Schizosaccharomyces pombe: one gene and its partner. The protein of the gene in region 1 binds, or shares a complex with, the protein of each later gene. Each region holds a gene or a part of one and is shown on either strand. Other genes may lie near its edges.

What was found.
Region 2: swd2 (region 1) and shg1 share a complex: the UniProt entries of both Schizosaccharomyces pombe proteins name them as parts of the set1 complex.

The regions. Positions count from the first base shown.
Region 1 is NC_003423.3:1,781,424-1,785,105, reverse strand, and holds swd2 (Set1C complex subunit Swd2.1), read left to right. Parts: upstream 1-1,886; 5' UTR 1,887-1,949; coding exon 1,950-2,125; intron 2,126-2,185; coding exon 2,186-2,450; intron 2,451-2,498; coding exon 2,499-3,131; 3' UTR 3,132-3,161; downstream 3,162-3,682. Other genes in the region: ubiquitin hydrolase Ubp4, read left to right, coding at 1-887; wbp4 (WW domain-binding protein 4), read right to left, coding at 1,100-1,720, 1,794-1,847; SPOM_SPBC18H10.05 (WD repeat-containing protein), read right to left, coding at 3,332-3,682. UniProt on the Schizosaccharomyces pombe protein: The Set1 complex specifically methylates 'Lys-4' of histone H3.
Region 2 is NC_003424.3:2,355,405-2,359,103, forward strand, and holds shg1 (Set1C complex subunit Shg1), read left to right. Parts: upstream 1-1,914; 5' UTR 1,915-1,956; coding exon 1,957-2,064; exon of another isoform or gene 2,065-2,171; coding exon 2,172-2,293; exon of another isoform or gene 2,294-2,358; coding exon 2,359-2,527; 3' UTR 2,528-2,984; downstream 2,985-3,699. Other genes in the region: gdt2 (GDT1-like protein), read right to left, coding at 1-750, 1,022-1,078; mitotic spindle checkpoint ubiquitin ligase Dma1, read right to left, coding at 3,166-3,699. UniProt on the Schizosaccharomyces pombe protein: The Set1 complex specifically methylates 'Lys-4' of histone H3.

The DNA of each region.
Region 1 (3,682 bases):
CAAGGAATTTTTTAGAAATTGTACAGTCATTGAATAGAGATTTCTCCATCGATGGCCAATGCGATGCTCAAGAATTTTTAAATTTCTTTCTTGATAAACTTCATGAAGATTTGAACTCCAATGCATCTCGGTCTCCGATAGCACCGTTGACGGAAGATCAATTAAGTGCCAGAGAAGAACTCCCATTGTCCCACTTTTCACACATTGAATGGAACTTGCATCTCCGGTCTAACAAGAGTATTGTGGTCAACAATTTTGTAGGTCAACTTTGCAGTCGTACTCAATGTATGACATGTGGCCGCACATCTACTACTTTTGCTCCCTTCACATCGCTTGCGATACCGATTGACGATGTCTCCCATGTAGTAAGCCTACAAGAATGCTTATTAAAATTTTCAGCTCCTGAACTCTTGCAAGGGCATGATGGATGGCATTGTCCCGTGTGCAAGGTTCAAAGGTCGGCAAAAAAAGTAATTATGATTTCGAAACTACCTGAATATTTGATCATACAAATTCAGAGATTTAAAATATCCGTAATGGGTCGTAAAAAAATTGATACACCACTTGGATTGAGCTTACAGATTCCAAGTAAAATGCTGGTACCACCGAGTTTCCAATCGGGAATTGGTTATATTCCTAGCAATTATAACCTGTTTGCATTTATCTGTCATTATGGCCAGCTCGAAAATGGACATTATATATCTGATGTACTTTTTAATAATGAATGGTGCCATATTGATGACTCAATTGTTCGAACAGTGGGCGGTATTACTGACTTGAGAGAAGATTTCTCCTCTTCCTACATTCTTTTTTATAAACGCTCAAGTCTGTTGGAGGAGTTTGAAGATAAGTGTCCCAAAATGACTTTGAAAAGAAATGTTAAATAAAACAAAATAAAAAAAGGAAAAATGTTTTCAATAAACCTCAAATATAGTTATTGAATAAATGTTCAACTTAGCATTCATAACCGATATGAATACTTACTTAATGCTGATTACCCAACACAAAAGCTACTCTCGTTATGTTGAACAGAATGCAGGAATTGGATACAAAATTTTTTCATCCTAGAATTTTTTTTAAACAAAGATGGTTTTTTTCTTCAAGATTGATCATATTCTTTTAAGGAAGATTTTGTTCTTAACTTTCCAGACTTTTTCTTTTTAAACACCACTTTGTTTTCATTTGATTCCTTGCTTTCTAGCGATTTGTTTCCCTCGTTTTCAGCTAACTTAGGTACTTTATCTAAGTTTTTTGGTTTTACCCGAAAATGAAATGAAGATCTTTCTTCTTTTTCGATGATCTCTCTGTTTCTTTTCAAAGAGGTCCCTGGTAGAGACTCATTTTTATTAGTAGTTGTTTCCTTGGTTTCTTCATTTTCTTCTTGCTTTGCTAGCAATGTAGGAATATAGCTGGTATGAGTAGTAGAGATGGTGTCAGTCTCCGTAGAACTTGTAGGAATATCCCAATCATCCAAAGTAGCTTTTTTTTTAGAGGGACGTAATTTTGGATGCTCCTTTTTTGGTTTCTCATACGATGCTAGTTCAGATGACACCGCTGAAGCAGTGGTAGCAGTAGCTGATTTTGGTATAGATAAATTCTTCTCAAGTTCCTGCCTTAAAAGGTTGGAACGATGAATATCATCCATTACTTTTTTAATAGCATCCTGATGTTTATAAGTTTGCTCATGGCTCCGTCGCGCAAATGGTGTATCTTTCACGAACTGTACTGTTAGTAGGATTCTATTAATTTCACCACTTTAGAAATAATTTTTGGATGTTATAGAAAAAACTTACTATTTGGCAATATTTACAATAATATTTTGGAATACTTTTCCAGTAATCAGCCATTCTGAATATTAATAGGAGATACGCACTAAATACATACTTAAAACTTATTTACCCATATATTTTTCTCAGGAAACCCACCTTTTAGCATACCGTTATTTAGTAATGACAACAGTTTCAATTACTTTTGACTTGTTGTCGTCTATGCAACCAAGAAAATGGCTGAAAAATCAGAATTTTGTTGGTGAAATTACCTCTCTCAGTTTTGACGACAGTGGAGAGTTGTGCTTGGCGTCGTGTACTGATGATACTTTACAACTGTATAACTGCATTTCTGGAAAGTAAGTACTTCTTAAATTCACTTTTGAAACCTGTTTGGCTAACTGACCATGAACTTCTAGATTTGTGAAATCACTTGCAAGCAAAAAGTACGGAGCACATTTAGGTCGGTTTACTCATCATTCAAATTCATTAATACATGCTTCCACAAAGGAAGACAATACCGTTCGTTATTTAGACGTTGTGACAAATCGGTATCTTCGATATTTTCCTGGCCATAAGCAAACAGTGACTTCAATCGATGTATCACCAGCAGATGAAACTTTTTTAAGCGCTTCTTTAGATAATACTATTCGCCTTTGGGACCTTCGGTCTCCAAATTGCCAGGTATGAGTATAACAATTACTGATAATCAAACTAACTAGGAATACGTAGGGTTTGCTCAATGTTAGTTCACCCGTTGTTGCAGCTTTTGATGCTACAGGACTAATCTTTGCCTCAGTTAGTGAAAGAAAATACAAAATTTCTCTTTATAACATTAAATCATTTGATGCTCGCCCATTTCAAGACATTCCTTTAACATTCCTGCCCCCTCATGTCCGCATTGCAAATGTGGAATTCAGTACTGATGGTAAATATCTATTGCTAACAACTGGAAATGATTTTCATTACGTTATAGACGCTTATAGTGGAAGTGAATTATTAAGAGTTCCTTCAAAGGTTAGCACAAAAACCCAAGATGGAAATTTGACTTATTATGCTTCAGCTTGCATGTCTCCAGATAGTAAATTTCTTTTTACTTCATATGATAATGAGCATCTTTGCATGTATCAACTACCAGAACTGAAACAAACTGTTAACTCGGATCACATTGTTAATTCATTCACCGAAATGGGCCTAGCATCAACTACTCCGACCAGCAATAGTCATTCAACAGAGAACCCGCTAGCTATCATTCCTTCTTCAACATCTAAAAACCTTTTACCAGAAACACCTTCTATTGTTCGCTTTAATCCACGCTTCTCTCAATTAGTTACAGCACATTCTGGAGTAATTTTCTGGACGTAAAATTGTTTTTGTGTCTTAACAAACCACGAAAAAATGAATATTATATTATACTATTATTAAAAACAATTTCATAAAAAAACTTCATAACTATTATTTAAAAGGGGGAAAAAATGAGTCCTCTATTTTAAATGACACCTGAATGACTTAGAAGACTTAAACAAAATAAAAAAAGGTAAAGTAATATTAGTTTTGAATCGAGATTAGGTTCGTAATAAACGCTTCACAAAGTGTCCAAATTTTGAGTTTCTAAATCCATGATGGGAATTCCCCAAATCATAATCAACACACAAGACAATAGTCATACCTGCCATGTTGGTAGCAATTATTATATCAATCGGATGTACAGGAGGTGTTCCATATGATCTGTGACTATGAGGTTTTACTAGATTGTATCCTTCTGCAATTAAACTGCGATCATGTTCCGACTCTTTAGCTTCGACAGCAGTCCTTGCTGGTGCAATGATGGTCGAAGTCAGTCTCTCACTACAAACCTTGAATGTTTCCGTGGGCAAATGGAGAATGACAGAGCGTTTTCTTGATGCATTGATGAG
Region 2 (3,699 bases), on another chromosome or scaffold:
AATGAACATGACTTTATGAACCTTTATCTTGGTAGAAATATATTTTCCAGAAATAACTGCCAAAGCTGTACAGCAAGCATGACCAACATTAGCCCCCATGAATACACCGTAAACATTATCACTAGCAGCCATTGCAATAGTAGCGATTTGGGAGCGATCTCCCCATTCACTAACAAAGGTAAGTGCAAACGCCTTTATAAATAAAGGAGAAAACAGGGTAGCCATAACGTTCCGTCCCTTTGATTTTAATTGCGACATTAAAGTATGTCCAGAGCGAGACCTGTGACCAGTGTAGTGGGAAGGTGCTGCCCCTTCCTCCAACAATTGGTCGATGGGGCCATTAGCAGCTATTTCGTTGCGGACGTTCTGAAATTCGTCAGACATGGATTCTTTAGAATCCATAACTTCCTTCGCTTCCATAAGCATTTTAATTCCAAAAATCACAAAAAGGACACCTCCCAGAATGTCCGTTAACTTTCTAGGAAAAAGTAATGGAGCGGCGTGCCCAAGAAGTACTCCTAATAATGTCATGATGAATAGAGCTGAGTATGACCCAGCAAAAACAGTTAATCGAGAGTTTTCAAAGGCCAAAAGAGCAGCTACGATGAAAGTCTTGTCTCCTATTTCACAACCAAAAATCATAGATATAGAGAAGATCAAACTCCTAAGAAAGTCACGGTTTGTTGGGTGCACTTCCTCTGGATGTTTGATAGCTGACACGTCTGCCATACCTTCGCCAACGATTTTTTTCTAAAGTAGTGTTAGATTCAATGCAAAAAAACTTTGATTTCAATTATCTATCAAAACATTACTTCTTCCAAAAGGAAAAGTGAATATCATTGATTTAAGAATGTAGAAAAACGATTATAGCAAAATCGTAAATTACTGAGACAAAGTAAATTCTGCATCACCTGCATATTTGCACGGAATTTATTTCGTCTTTGTACAACAATAAACTAATCACGATTGTATTGCACAAGAACCAATGAGACGTGTTCTAAAGGACAAGGAAAAAACTTACAGCCACGACGGTTGACAGCAAAACCGCTATAATCGCCCATTTTATTGGATTTTTCATGACAATATTAAAAGACTGGGATGCAAATAGTAATTGCAATGTTTGTTGAGCGTAGATGCAAAGTTTGGTGTAGCTGAAATTTTAAAGGTAGTTAACAAATTCTTCGACGTATTGTGCGCACACCAAAAAAAAGCAGTTATAATTAAATGAATTCAGAAAAACAACCACATTTTGAAAATAGGCCTGTGTCTTTGGTTAGTATCGGTAAAACATTTTCATTTATTTTCTGGCCTTCACGTGGCATATGCCAAAAACCTCTAATTTGTTTTAAAACAGGTTTTTAACTCTTATCTTTCGAAAAGTTGTTATAGTTACCACTTGACTGTATATTAATTGATCATTAGTGGGTATAATACAAGCATTAGGACTTGCAAATGCTCATAATTTTATGCCTTTTTTTTACTTTCATGTATTACTTGTTGTAGCAATAGGAACCAATGCCAATCCTTTTAATTGTAAGTGTAATACGCGAAACCAAACAGAAGTTTGATAATTTTTTAGATGGGAAACTCACATTGCACTACCTACATAACGCAAGTTCAACCATAAACACATAAGAAAATTCACTAGCCAAACGGTCAAAGTAAAGCCTTAACAACAGAACATCGCATTTAAGTTAAACCTCGTTAGTACGTGTTTCTTACAGGGTGATTGTACGAAGTCCCTTCTGCGAGATATTACTTCAAGAACTTTTACATTGAGCAATCAAGACACGATCAATTAATTCAAGTTAAATGTGTCTTGTAAAATAACTCGAGTTTTATTAATAAGGTAGTATAAATATGGCCGAATAATCTGTAATCAAATCTTTACATTTCGTGAAAATTCTTTTCTTTACCACATTATTTTACCGTGTAGTCAATTCATAAACAAAAGGCATGGATAGGGATGTAACACTTAATGTTGATGAACTTGTATCTAAATTTAAAAAAGAAGGACATTTTGATCGCCTTCGAAAACAAATTCTAGAAACAGTAAATGAAAAGGTAGGGTCATCGATAGTTTCCTCAAAAATTAAACTATCACTATTTTTTTTAACTATCATAATGATACCAATGTCACTCACTCTTTTGCCATACTAACATCGCCTCAGGAATCAGGGCCTTTATTAGATCGGCTGAAAAAAATCATTGATGAAGAAATGGTGAAAGATCGCACACTCAAAAGTAAAGACCAGTTTAGGGCTGCTCCTTTAATTGCAGGTGCCGTAGATAGGTAAGCTTACGACTTAATAATGGTTTTTTTTCTTTTCTTTTTGGAAACTCAGTCTAACCCATAAGATCTTCATTGTATGAAGATAGCATGGAACACATCCGAAGCAATGTTTTATCTGATCAAGATTTGAGGGAAGTTATTTATAATTCTCTTGAACAAATAGGGATTGAACAAATAGAGCATGAGGATGAAGAAAAATTGCTGAATAGTAAAACCATGGATGGGCGCAAATGAAGATAATTAGCTACTTAAAAGTTTGAAAAAGTTTTGTTATTGATTACTTCTAAATTGCATATACTGAACATACTTATTACAATTAAGAATTGTACTCTCGGGAATTTTACCAGCAATCACATTAGGTTGCATAAGAAGTGAATTAAAAGTTATAACATTTAATGATGCTGAAGGAGATAATAAATGGACTCTCAGAAGAACAACCACAATTCTTTCAGATTCGGATCTCTATTACTGCTGATTATTAGTACATTCATTTGTGATGCCAATGTTTCAAAAAAAATAAAAAAATGTGAGAGTATGTAGAGATCAGGTGTGAAGGACGACAGAAGTTAAGATTATATATCCATTTAGGATAATTATATTAATGCAGTAATGAATAAAAGAGACCAAGTAGCACTTGGTTTTCTCATCAATAAAATATTTAATCATTATGAGTGTTGATAAATAAAGTTAGGGAGGCATGCTTGTTTAATTCAATCATCAGGCAACAGCAAATGTCAAAGAGCCTGTGTTCCCATAATCTTCTGCCATGCTCATAAAGACTAAATATAATATGATCATTATGTTACGATGGTCATTAAAGGAAGAACTTGAGGACGTAAAAGACAATTAGTAACCATACTGAAAATAACAGTTTACTCAGATGCATCGTCTTTTACCGTTGCATTTCGTAGAAGGTCATTTAGACTTTCGTCACCTTCTTCAACAGGAGCCTCCAAATCATGATATTTTCTACATATAAAGCAACTGAAGTATGGGTGACTTTCGTTTAGGGTTGGGCGTATGCATTTATAGTGATAAGAGTGAGAACAAGGTGCAACGAACAATGCTTGACAAGGTAAAACAGGCATAAGACATATACAACATTCCGGAGGACCCGATTCAGAAGATCCGCATAACACCAGTTCTTGCATTCTTTTGAATTCGTTAAGGTTGTAAGGACTAAGCTTAATTTTCCAAGAGTTGTTTAGCTCAACTCGGGCACGAACACAACGATAGTTGACTTCATGACCTCCTCTATAATCCGCCCCAAGTTGTAATATGTCGTTGTTCGAGATGGGATAAGGCTTACTCGTTTTTGACGGCGGTGATAAACGAACATGGTTCAAAAATGTACCAGAACTAGAACCCATATCTTGAATGTACCAAGTATTGTTTTCATAAAATAT